3 linked regions of the Sus scrofa genome follow. The protein of the gene in region 2 interacts with the protein of the main gene of each other region in a pairwise test. Links are inferred from orthologs where the notes say so. Each region holds a gene or a part of one and is shown on either strand. Other genes may lie near its edges.

Region 1 (4,376 bases), on a different chromosome or scaffold from region 2:
AAATAAGAATCTTAGGAGTTTCCATCGTGGCGCAGTGGAAACGAATCCTGACTAGGAACCATGAGGTTGTGGGTTCGATCCCTGGCCTTGCTCAGTGGGTTAAGGATCTGGGGTTGCCGTGAACTGTGGTGTAGATCGCAGATGCAGCTTGGATCTGGTGTTGCTGTGGCTGTGGTGTAGGCTGGTGGCTACAGCTCCAATTGGACCCCTAGTCTGGGAATCTCCATATGCTGTGGGTGCGGCCCTTAAAAAAAAAAAAAGAATCTTAGAAAAGGTGGTAGGTTTAGGCACCTCCACTCCAAAAACTTTCAGAAGGCTTTGCCATCAACTGTAAAATATCTTATCAGATATCACTTTCACATCCTTTCAGACTCAGATTTTCATAAAGTACATTATTAGCAAGAAGGGATAAGTGAGCAGTAGAAAGTCTTGTTTTCTGGGTGAGCATCTGAGGCCCAGAGAAGGGGCCGGGAAGCAGAAATCCATTTATTTTCTCTTTTCCGCAGCACTCGAGGCCAAATTTTACAAGAAAAAGAGATACCAGATGTGAAAGCCTAGAAATTCCAATCAATGTGGTTCTGCCTCAGGTAGGGATAATCACAGAAGGATGCAACCCTTCAGTTAGCCAGAATAACCCTCCCCTTTCAAAACTCTAGCCTGAGGACATGGAGCAGGCAGAGCCAGCAAGGCCTCCGATTCTAGTTGTAGGGCAGCTGCCAAGCCAGCAGTGTGGCTGGGGGAGGGCACTTAAGCCATTCTGAGTCTTGAATGGGGGGTGGGGAGGGAGCTTGTTAGGTGATCTGATAAGATCTTCCGGCCCTACCCCTTGAAATCTCTGTGACACTCTGAAATAAGCCAGTCTCTCCAAAATTAGATCTTTTGGCGTTGGCTGTTCTGCAACTTCTCTGGATTTCTGGCAGGTCCTGGGAGGTGGCTGGCAGACAATGAGATCTGAGACTTGGAATCAAAAACGCAAGACCTGGAGTTCCCATTGCGGCCCAGCACTAACAAACCCAAGTAGTATCCATGAGGACACGGGTTCGATCCCTGGCCTCATCCAGCGGGTTAAAGATCCGTTGTTGCTGTGAGCACTGGTGTGGGTCGCAGAGGAGGCTCGGATCTTATGTTGCTGTGGCTGTGGTGTAGGCCAGCGGCTACAGCTCCAATTCAACCCCTAGCCTGGGAACCTCCATATGCCGCCGGTGTGGCCATACAAAGAAAAACAAACAAACAAAAAACAAAACCAAAAAACATATGACTTGAACCCATGAGGAGACAACCTAGGACTCAGCCCAAGGGGTGCAGGGTCATCTGGGGGTGTCAGGAGAATTAAGACCTGCTTTTTGCCCAAGACAAGAGTATGGGGGGGCGGGGCTTGCAGGATTCCGAATGGAAGCCCGTGAATGGATGACGGGCTGGAGATTCTCAGCTCTCCGCCTGCTAAGCAGCCGTTTCCCTGGAGGGGTTCTCCTGATTGGATTGTTTCCATGGCTATGTCACAAAGGGGGGGCAGCCTTGCTTCTTCAGAGTCACCTAAGGCCCTGCTGGAAGATCATGGCTGTGCAGCCGGAGGGGCTGAAATGTAGGGCGGAGGAATCCAGCGTAGAGGTAGCCACCCAGAGAGCTCTGTCCAGGGCTGTGTAGGAACAGGACTGACTGCCCCTGGGCATCCTGGCCTTTCGGAGGACGTGAGGCACTGCTGCTGCGCACAAGTCCTGTGTCAGGTTCCGGACCCTCAGCAGGATGCTCCAGGCCGGCAGTCCTGGGTGGGGGAAGGGTGCGTCTCTAAGTTTAGATGAGATGTGGGCGCGTTCAGGTCCGGTTTGTTCAGGGTGGTGTGGCTGTAGTCTGTAAGTTTAGATGATCTGAACTGGGCCACCTCTAGGACTGTGAGGGACCAGTGTGCTGACTCGATCTCCCCAGAGGAGATTGTGCATGGCTGGCGGCGGGGCAAGGACCGATCTGCTTAACACGGCGGGGGTTGGGGGGGGAGAGAGGGAGATGCCCTGAGCACTGATGTGTGATGTGATCACGTGGTGGGCATGGGGCCAAGCAGCGTGAGGGAGACTGTGTAGGAATTGAAACCCAGAAGCCCCACTAGTAAGGCAGGGCTGGAGCTGGAGGCTTGAAACCAGGTCAGTGCCTCTTCCTCTGCTGTGCCCCCGGCTGGGCACAGGCCAGCTGCGTCTTCCCTGGCTTTTAGGACATGGTACCTCCCCTCCCCCCCATCTTTACTGCCTACCCCCGAGCTCCCTGCAGGTCTCTGCCACATTCTGCTTCCTTCTGAGACCAAGTCCATTCGTCGCAGCAGGGAACAGCCACAAGCAGCCCTGAGCCCTGCATTGCCAGAAAGCGCCTCTGGCCTCCTGGCTCCCAAACAAGCCGCCAGGCACGCATCTCAGTTACATTGCAGATGCCTATGGCTCACTGTTTGTTATCACCCTGTGGTCTTTTCAGGTCTTATTGATTTTCAGTTTTTCTTCCTCACATTAGGGACTTGTACTTTCTGAGCTCTTTCCCTCCAGCGCGTTAACCATCAGTGCCCAAGCTCTCTGCCCTCCTGGGTCCTTTTGTACATAACAATTCAGTTCGGGCGGAGGGGGGGGGTCGCAGTTCCCCAGTGAGCGCTCTCTGGGAACTTCCTAAAGGCACTGTTTACTGCCAGACCATTGATGCAGGACCTACACCAGGTCAGGATGCATTCTGACAGCGACCCCCTTCCACTCCTGCCGCCCCCCATCCCTCTCTGTTCCCTTGTCCCAGTCCCCTGGGTTTGGGTTTGTTCTTCAGAAGCTATGGACTCTGCCGACCATGCCTGCACCTCTGCCAGTTTGAATAAGCTTTAGGAAGAAGATGTCAGAAGATTCCGTGTTCAACAATTAGCAAAAATGAGCACAGAGGATGGCAGATGACATCTTTATCCTCTTTGCTGTTAATGTTATGATTCTATCAAGATCAATCACATTGACCTGTGAATTATCCTCTTATCTGCTGGCATTTATGAAAACCAACATTGACTTTCTCATGGCACTCGGGAGCAGAGTTAATTTAAAAATATGATAATGAGGCTCAGGCTTATCACCTGGTCTGAAAATTAGTGGCGTGGCTGGTCTTTCCTTCCAGCATCCTGGGGCCTCTCAGCTTCACACGCCTGAAAGGGAACCTCCGGTGGCTGAATGTTCTGTGATTGTAACCCTCAGTGACGCTGCCAAAGCAGGGCTTTAATGGACTTGGTCGGAGTTCCCAGTGTGGTGCAGGGGAAACAAATCTGACTAGGAACCATGAGGTTGTGGGTTCGATCCCTGGCCTTGCTCAGTGGGTTAAGGATCTGGTGCTGCCGTGAGCTGTGGTGTATGTTGTAGATGGCGTTGCTGTAGCTGTGGTGTAGGCCGGCAGCTACAGCTCTGGTTAGACCCCTAGCCTGGGAACCTCCATATGCCACAGGTGCAGGCCTAAGAAGACAAAACAAAAAAAACAAAACACGAGATGCTGGGGAGAAGGACAGGCCTGATGCTAAGGACAGATCCCCAACCACAGGGGGGATTTAGGCATCTGTGCGGGAGATGTTGGTGCCCAGAGCCCTTCCTGGGCCCTCAGCATGAATGCATCCTACTTATGTCACAGCTGGGAGCACATTGCTCTGAGGCCAACCTGTTTGGTTGCCTGGCTAATAAAGCCTTTGGAAAGAACCCCACAGCTATGAGTCTTCCCCTCCTGCATCCTGCATCCTTCTTTGCATCCCCTTCTTCCACGGGGAATCCCACCTTTTCCTCTCCCACCTCCTGGGTCTGCATCCACATGCCAGGGCACTGCCCACAGATCAGGGAGGAGACCAATCCTTTTCTTCATGGGAAACCTGGCCAGGCTGCTCTGGGCGCTGGGATCACTCTGGAACTTTCCGGGTGTTCCAGGAGCTTTTTATGGGCACGAACCCCTTGTTGTGAAATGTGTGGTCCTAATTCCCAGGACTGGGAACGTCAAAAAAACCTAAGGCATGGGTCACTGTCCCTAGAGAATTATATTTTATTCATCCGGGGAGAAGATGGGATGGGACATAGGAGAACCACTGCAAAGTAATGATAGCAACACACATGCATAATAAAATATCTGGACATTGCGAAGCGCTAGAATGAGCATGCAGTTTGGAGTCAGATATCCTGGTTTTAAACCCTTGCTGGCTGTGTGATCTCAGGTAGAAACACAGTAGCTCCTTTCAGTAAGATATTGCCTATAAATATGGAAATCAATTAGCACACCATCACATAGTAGTCATTCAGTAAGTGTTATTCCCTTTTCCTTGTTCCATACAGTATAAGGAAATGATAAGCAACTTCTGAATCCACACTATTCTTGCTTGTTTGTATCTCTCTATAAAA
Region 2 (4,142 bases):
TGGGGTTGGGAGTCTATGAGCAAGTCTCCCTCCCGCTCTCGTGCCAAACCCCAAGTCCAGCCCCCTACAAGTAGGTCCACCCTTGTAAGGGGATAAGGACAAGGGCTGCCTCTAATCTCTTACTTCTCAGAACCAGAGATGTGAACTTTTGCCTTCCTACCCGGTGGAGCATGAGAGCTCAGGAAAATTGAGCTAGAGGCCCCAAAGAGAAAAAGAACAGGGAAATGTAAGCAGGTGACGTTCCAGGGGCTGAAGACAAAGCTCCCCAGGCGATGACCTGGGACCTACAGGGATAAAGATCTTGAGGGGGCGTGGTCCCTTAGGACGCGTGCATCAGAGATTTCCAGGAGGCCAGGCTTCTGGGCGATCAGACGTGGATTAGGGAAGGGGCGGAGCTTCTAGAGGGGCGGAAACCCTAGAGAGGAGTGGCTTCACGAATTCAAGCAGATCTTTGAGGGGCAGGGCTTTGCCCTTTGGGGAGATAGGCTTTTTGACAGACAGGAGTTAGCGGAGAATCGTCGCGAGGCGGGGTTTCGGGTAATTGGAAAGACTTAACGTTGGGTTTCTAGGAGTAAGGCTTGGAAGCATGTCTAGGGGTGGGACTTCCAGGAAAGCTGGGCGACGGGGTGGGGTCGGGGACAATAAACGGAAAATAAGTCGGGGTTCAGGGAGCCCCCTGAAGTTGGGAGGTGGGACTTCCGGGGAGGGGGTCGCAGGGGGCGGGACTTATAAATGAAGACCGGAAGTAGGGTCCCGGGAGAGGGGTTCCGGGGTGGAGGGGAGGTTCGCCTAAGGAGAAAAAAAAAGGTCCCAACTCACCAGGGCTTCATGGGGTCTCCGCACCGCACCGCGGGTCGATTTGGTTCCGGATCACGCCACTGCCTCCTTAGGTCGCCGCTCCAACTTTCTCCCCGGGCCCGGCCTCCCTGGAGAAACTTTATTGCACTCACTTCCGGCCTTACTAACCCCTGACCCTCTACCTCATCGTCCCTCCTTCACCCGTCCCACTTTCCCAAATCAGCCAATGATGCGCGAGAACGCTCACAGGGCAGTGATAGCCTATAAGAGGCCTATTTTTGCCCTACGTTTTTCTTTAGAAACTTAAGCAGTGCACTCCAATAAGGACCTGAAGAGAAGCAAATCTAAGCCAATCGAAGGCTTGGAAGTGGAGTTGTCCCGCCTTCCGCCAGGCGGACCAATAGGAAGCGCGGGCGGCGTGTTTGAAAGCGAGGCCAAAGAGGGTGGGAGCGCGTGCTGCTGGGAGTTGTTTGGAGGTTGGCGGTGCGGTGTTGACGGTCCTCTGGCAGAGCGATCATGTCGCACAAACAAATTTACTATTCGGACAAATACGACGACGAGGAGTTCGAGTACCGGTTAGTGCCGGCGCGGGGGCAGTATCGAGGTGGTGAGCTTTGACAAGTGTGGGCACGAGGAATTAGTAACAGGGACCGAAGGTATAGAGTCGGCGCATGCGCAAGAGGTTAACGGGAATGGGTGTGCGCTTTGAGCGTAAGGCGCATGCGCTAAGGGTAGGGGGTCGCTCAAAAAAGCCTAAAAGTGGTAGTGAATTTGTAGTAAGCTCTCCCGTGGGGAGGAGGCGTAGGTGGGCGTGGTTAGAGTGCTGACCATCCCCACTCTTGAGGGTTTCTGGATCATTCTCTCCAATTTGCTCAGCAGATTGAACTTGACTTCTTGAGACTGCTTGTATCACCGCAACACCACAGAGCCTCTGGGGTCGGGAGAAGCTCGAATTTTCCTCGCCTCTTCAAAGTGAGGGGAGTTCTGAGAGAGCCTGAGTGGTGTTCATTAATTCTTGGAAAAGGAGCGTGGTTGTCTGGCTTGTTTTATAGGAAGGGGGCTTTGAAGATCAGGAGTGGAATAAAACTGGCCAGAAGCATTGAGTAAAGACTTAATACGGACCTAATAGATGACCTTCAAATATTTGAAGGGCATCTACTTGGGAAACAGCTTATAGGTTTCAGATGTTGTGCTAAAGTGCAGGGATAAGCCATGGTGCCTGCTTTCACCAAAACTTTTTTAAGTCTGTGGAAATACTCAGAAGGTGGTACTTGGCATGATAGAACTTTGTACAGGCTGTGATGGGAGCAGTAGGACTTGCCAAGCACAGCGAAGAAAGTGAGTCGCTCCAGAGTTTGCATTTGATAAATCCTAACCATAATTCTAGATTAGAAAATTAGGGAAGAAAAGGAGTTCTGCAAATGTTGGCATTCCACCAATCTGTGTTAATTGTAATACTTAAAACACCTGGAAGCTTGGTTGTTTTGTATTTCTTCTGCAGCCTAGTGCAGGGCTCTGGGCCCTCTGGAGAACTTGGAGTGTGCCAACAAATACATAACTATATGTATGCCACATGGTTGGGAAAAGACCCCGAGCCCTGTTTGGACCTAATTAACTTTCTTTTCCTCACCTGTTTTCCTCTCCATCTAAAGGAGGCTAACTAAAATTAGGTGCTTATAATTTATAAGGGCTAGGGGAACATCACTAGTTTCCTCCCCTGGAATATGTAAGACTTGGCAGTGATACCTGGTTTAAGAGAAGAGGTTTTATTATGTGTTGCTTTTTTTATTTGTTTTTTGGGGCTATTGGGATTTTTTTTTGTCTAAATGGGTATGGAAGCCAGTCTTTACTCCAGGGACTTATTAGGATGTAAGCTATTTTCAAATATTTAGACTAGAATGGACTCTTTGGGGTTCCCGTTGTGGTTCAGCGGTCATGAACCTGACTAGTATCCATGAGGATGCAGGTTCAATCCCTGGCATCGCGCAGTGGGTTAAGGATCTGGCATTGCCATGAGCTGTGGTTTAGGTCCCAGACGCTGCTCTGATCCTGAGTTGCTGTGGATGTGGCAGCTTTCATAGGCCACAAGTGAGGCTCTAAAAAGAAAAAAAAAAAATGTCTCTTTGGAGAAAAAAAAAATCTGTTAGCACAGAGAGAGCATTCGGTACATTTTCATTGAACATGCTAAAGTCTGTCTGGGTCAGCCCAATCCAAATCAGAATAGTAACTTCTTTGCCATGAAAGGGACTTATGCTTGATTAGGAAAGCATGCAGTTTCCCAAAAGAAATCTCATGGCACATCCCTTCAGAGTTAGGAAAGTAAAATTAAAGGAGAAGACATTTACATTTCTGCCTTTGTGCTGGCTGCTTTTTTTTTTTTTTTTTTTTTTTTTTGGCTTTTTAGGGCTGCACTAGCAGCATATAGAGGTTCCCAGGCTAGGGGTTGAATCAGAGCTGTAGCCACCAGCCCACGCCGCAGCATCTGCTGCCTACACAACAGCTCACGGCAACACCAGATCCTTAACCCACAGAGCGAGGCCAGGCATTGAAACTGCGTCCTCATGGACACTAGTCAGAATCATTTTCCCTGAGCCACAGTGGAAACTCCTGTATTGGCTTTTCTATACAGTACTCCCTGATAGGCCTTTCCTGTCCATGAAATCATGTCCCTCCCTTCCTTACCAACCCTGTGCAAAACTGCCTTTAATTATTAACACTGTGTGTGTTGTGGGGCTCCCATTATATTGTTCTAGGGTAATCAACTAGAAGACTGTAATCTCCGAGAAGGCTGAGGCAGTGCCTGGAATTTAGGTGCTCCTTCACTGGTGTTATCCATTAATTTGTACTTTTTAATATCCTTTTGTAAGAATTTACGTAACGTGGCCTTTATTTTCTAGCTGCCTCTGCCCCACAGTGAGATTATACAAACTCCCTGCCATTAGGAACCGGTTTTTCTTTCCTTTCCTCTCTTGGTTGTAAATGCAGGCACTCGTCTGACAGTGTACCCGGTAATGAAACCAATTCCCCGCCTTCCCATGTTTCTGTTACAGGCACGTCATGTTGCCCAAGGACATAGCCAAGCTGGTCCCTAAAACCCATTTGATGTCTGAATCTGAATGGAGGAACCTTGGCGTTCAGCAGAGTCAGGGATGGGTCCACTATATGATCCATGAACCAGGTCAGTGCACTGGCAGAAAGCAATCATGTAGGCCTGTGGGAATAAAGGAATGATAAGATCACATGGCCCAGAGAAATAAGGGGAAGGTGGGGGTGGTTTACTGCGTTACCCCACCAGCTATCTAGAAAAACAGAAGTGACCAAAAATAAGAACGTATCTGGGAAGT
Region 3 (4,167 bases), on a different chromosome or scaffold from region 2:
CCCCAGTCCTGCAGCTCTGGGCTGTGGAATAGTCAGTAAGAGAAGAGCTCTGACCCCATGTGCTTGGAATGTCATCCTCCAAGAATTTTTTTTTTTTTTTGTCTTTTTCTAGGGCTACGCCCATGTCGTATGTGGGTTCCCAGGCTAGGGGTCGAATCGGAGCTGTAGCTGCCGGCCTACGCCAGAGCCACAGCAACGCTAGATCCAAGCTGCATCTTCAACCTACACCGCAGTTCACGGCAACGCCAGATCCTTGACCCACTGAGCGAGGCCAGGGATTGAACCCTCAACCTCATGGCTCATAGTTGAAATCATTAACCACTGAGCCACGATGGGAACTCCCCCTCCAGGAAATTATATTAACCCTCCAGAGAGACCAGCAGGGCCTGGGGATTGAGTGGACTAATTGGACGGTTGAAATGGCCTTGGGGCCTCCAGGGACGGGCACCAGCCTGGAAGACCATGCAACTGTGTGCCGAAGAGAACTCCTTTGGGAATGAGAATCGCCCTGATTGCTATTTCCATGCCCAGGTTCCATGGAAACCCTGGCCTCTGGGGGTTAGGGGAAGCAGGTGGGTGAAGGTTAGGAGGCCAGAGAGCAGGTGGGGGAGGCCTGGAGGAACTTCAAGGAACTTATCTGACAGTCTTTCCCTTGCCATGGAGAAAAATGACTTGAAACCCCTCTAGAGATGAGTGTGGCGAATTGGCATGTAAGTTGGGGGTTAAAGAGCGGAAGGAAGAATCTGATTGTTTTTTTAAGTTACTGGGAAAGTGAGAATGTCACTTTGGGCCGAGAGAAACCCTTTTTTTTTTTTTTCTTCTAGAGTGTGTCTTTCTACTATAGACGGTAGTGGGCCGCTGAGACTTGCAAAAAAAGCTTTCTTTTAATCCACCTTCCTTTTGCCAAGCAGCAGTAGAAGGGCCTTTAAATCAAATGCAATCAGCAAACTTGTCTCTTGCACTTATTCCCAGCTTCACTCCCTGGAATTTGGCACTTGATGGATGCTGGATCTGACTTAAGGCTTTTTCCAAATCCGAGACTTGGGGAATTTTGTTAACAGTGCAATAAAATAACTTCATAGTGTTATAGGAGGCACATTAAAGAAATTGTGTGTGTGCTGCTCTCTCTCCTTAAAAAAAAAAAAAAAAATACAGACAATGTTTCTTTAAAAGACTCCATCTGCAAATCCCATTAGATGTGCATATAAGGTTTCTGATGATTAATAGTTGCCTGCTCGGGTTTTGGTTGGAGGGGATGGTGTGTGTGCTGGTTAACCCCTCCCTCTCCTCTCTCACATTTCACTTCAGAAATTTGTCACTCTCTCCCCACCGCAGGATTTAAAAGTGTGTCTCAGCAGCCCTGGACCAGCTCTCTGCAGGCGTTTGCTGCAGGCTCCAGGACAAGCGCTCTTTAGCTGGTGCGTCTGGGCTGGGACAGTGAAAATGTTGAGTGTCATCAGCGACACATACACGTACAGGGGACCCCAATAGGCAAGCTGGTGCGTCGGGGGGGCCAGGAAGCCAGGAGTGAAGTCTGATAGAGGTGTGTACACACGTGTGTGGAGCCAGCCACCTGTGTGCGGACCGTAAGGAGCGACTTTAGTTTTGGTGTTTGTTTGGGGTCCTGGGTGGAATTTTTCTGTTGAACATTTTTCTCTTCTGTTTAAAAAAAAAAAAAAAAAAAAATTTTTTTTTTTTTTTGCATTTTTAACAAATTGAGTATAAAGTATACCAATCCAGCCTTTGAAAGGACTGAGACGTGGGGCAGACGACAGATGGATCCAGTGGCCAGCAGCTGCATGAGGGGCCCCCACCCCCCAGCCCCGGTCTGGGGCTGCCTTCGAAACCCCCACTCAGAAGGCAGCGGGGCCTCAGGGCTCCCCCACTACCCGCCGACCCCGTTCTCCTTCCACCAGAAACCAGACTTCACAGCGACAGCGACGACAGCGTACCCTGACTTCTCGGCCTCCTGCCTGGCGGCCACCCCGCACAGCCTGCCCCAGGAGGAGCGCCTCTTCACTGAGCAGCACCCCGCCTTCCCACAACCCCCTGACTGGCCCTTCCCTGTCTCGGAGGCCCGGCGGAGGCTCAACCCAGGCCCGGCGGGGGGCTCCAAGGAGATGGGGGCCCGCAGCCCAGGCCTGGTGGACACCACGGGTGGCCCGGGCGAGGACTACGAGGTCCTTGGGAGCAGTGCCAATGAGACGGAGAAGAAGTCAACCAGACGGAAAAAGGAGAGTTCAGGTAGGTGGCTGGGGAACAGCTGACGTTTCCTTTACTGTGTGATCTCGGGGCGGTTGCTTGCCCTCTCTGAGCCTAGGTGCCCTGACCGTAAATTGGGATCTAACCTAATCAGAGGCGGGGACTAGACCAGTTACCTCGGAGTTTCAGGAGTCTCTGGTGATGGGGGCTATGACTATGTCCCCAGCCTTCCTGGGCCCCAGAAAAATGTGCCAGCGAGAGAATGAAACAGGATCCACATCGAGTTGGAGGGCATGTGGGAGGGAGCCTCTGGGTAGAGGCTGGCAAGGGCCGCAGAGGGGCTTTCCTGCATCTGGGCTGCCTCTGGGTCATGCTTCTCCCCACCACACCCCAGCCAGCTCCAAACAGTCCCAGAGCCCCAGGACTTGCTCCCAGGGGCATCAGCTAAAACCGAGACTTGGAAGGTTAAGATCAAGGCTGGGACCCTGGGCAGCCAAGCAGAACCAGAACTCTGTGTGTCCAGGAGGCAGAGGAGCAGGCACAGGGCGGGGATGCAAGAGGCAAGCACTGAGCTTTGGGGCCGACCACCCAGGAGGTACCACCCTACCCAGCAGGCCAGGCCCAGGCCAAAGGGTCAGCTCAGCCTGCTAAGGTCTGGGTGACCCCCAGGGCAGGCTGCCCCTCTGAGGAGCCCTCCAGAGAGAATCAGGGAGGCAGGCAGCAGAGGGCAAGCACTGGATCTTGGCGTGAAGGTAACGCCCAGCTTGGTGCTGGAGCCCCCGAGGCCAGAGGCTGGAGCTGGGCTGCTTGCTAAGATCCCAGCTAAAGTCCATCTCCTCCCCGTGGTGGGGACCTGTTTTTTCCTCATCTCCCAGTGGGACCCCCCCTAGCCCCCCACCACGGGCTTCTCTCACCTCCTGTTCACCTTTGGCCTGGATCCCTCCCCCATCTCACACAGCACAAGACAGTGCCCTGGCCTCCTGCCCCTTCTGCCCCATTGTGTCTTCCTGACAACTGCTTCGGGGTACATCTGACTGTCTGAACCTACAGAGGACCCTTCTTGGGGCTCACCAGGGGCAGGCTGAAAATGAGAGGAGCAGCCAACCAAAGAAAACATGCTCCGCTTTGCTTTACAAAGCGCTTTCAACGTAGCACAGACTTCCCGAGCATCTTCTCTTTGCCAAGAGGCCCTGGGGTTGCAGAGATGAAAAGGCGGTCTCACTCCCACCTCCAAAGAGCGCAAACGGAGAGGGAGGGGAGGTCAGCAGGTGCCTGTCTGGCAGTGGATGTGCTCTGATTCAGGGGGTTCGAGGTGCTGCAGGAAACATACCATAGCTCTTTTGAGTCCCACAGGTTTTCGAGTTTGATACAGCAGGTCTTATCAGTGACTTGATTCTTTAGGCGTGGAAAAGGAGAAACTTAAAAGTTTGAGGGGAGCACTGCTAGCAAGGAGTCAAAACAGAACGACCCATTCATCTCAAGGAAGCCAGGACTTTTCCAGTTTTAGCATTGAAAGTTCAGCACCCCAGGGACAGTTAGTCACCCAAGAAGAAAACTCAAACCCCAGACTTCAGACCCCAAACCCACCCCCTTCGGTAGATTTCAAGCACAATTCTTCATTTTGAAATATTGGGTCTCCAGGCTTGAAGAAGCCTCTCGGTGTGCTTGCAATGAATGATAAAAACCACAGCCCTCCAGGCTGCTCAGTAGACGGGCCCTTTAAGTCCCCAGTCGGCTAAATCCTGACCTATTCCTAGGCTTGGCTGGAGATGTGCCGAGAACGGGGCATTTCTGCTTCTCCTCTCCAAGAAGCTCTCAGCCACTTGGCTCTGCACCTCGTTGAAGAGCCCTCCCCTCTGTGGCGCCTGCCACCGTAGCTCCTCCATCTCTGCCCACATCCACCTTGGCTGCATCCAGGGACCTGGGAGCCAAGGGCACTGGGAAGACTCGGGCAAAGCCAAGGGC

What was found.
Region 1: the proteins of CKS1B (region 2) and SPERT interact in binary tests that used the Homo sapiens proteins (3 or more experiments, as listed by UniProt). The two-hybrid records come from large-scale screens. The link is inferred for Sus scrofa from reciprocal best matches to the Homo sapiens genes CKS1B and CBY2.
Region 3: the proteins of CKS1B (region 2) and MEOX1 interact in binary tests that used the Homo sapiens proteins (3 or more experiments, as listed by UniProt). The two-hybrid records come from large-scale screens. The link is inferred for Sus scrofa from reciprocal best matches to the Homo sapiens genes CKS1B and MEOX1.

The regions. Positions count from the first base shown.
Region 1 is NC_010453.5:21,617,847-21,622,222, reverse strand, and holds the start of SPERT (spermatid-associated protein), read left to right. Parts: upstream 1-1,520; 5' UTR 1,521-1,554; coding exon 1,555-1,608; intron 1,609-4,376.
Region 2 is NC_010446.5:94,816,704-94,820,845, reverse strand, and holds the start of CKS1B (cyclin-dependent kinases regulatory subunit 1), read left to right. Parts: upstream 1-1,262; 5' UTR 1,263-1,314; coding exon 1,315-1,373; exon of another isoform or gene 1,374-2,620; intron 2,621-3,848; coding exon 3,849-3,976; intron 3,977-4,142.
Region 3 is NC_010454.4:19,430,092-19,434,258, forward strand, and holds the start of MEOX1 (homeobox protein MOX-1), read left to right. Parts: upstream 1-1,311; 5' UTR 1,312-1,775; coding exon 1,776-2,244; intron 2,245-4,167. UniProt on the Homo sapiens protein: Mesodermal transcription factor that plays a key role in somitogenesis and is specifically required for sclerotome development. Required for maintenance of the sclerotome polarity and formation of the cranio-cervical joints.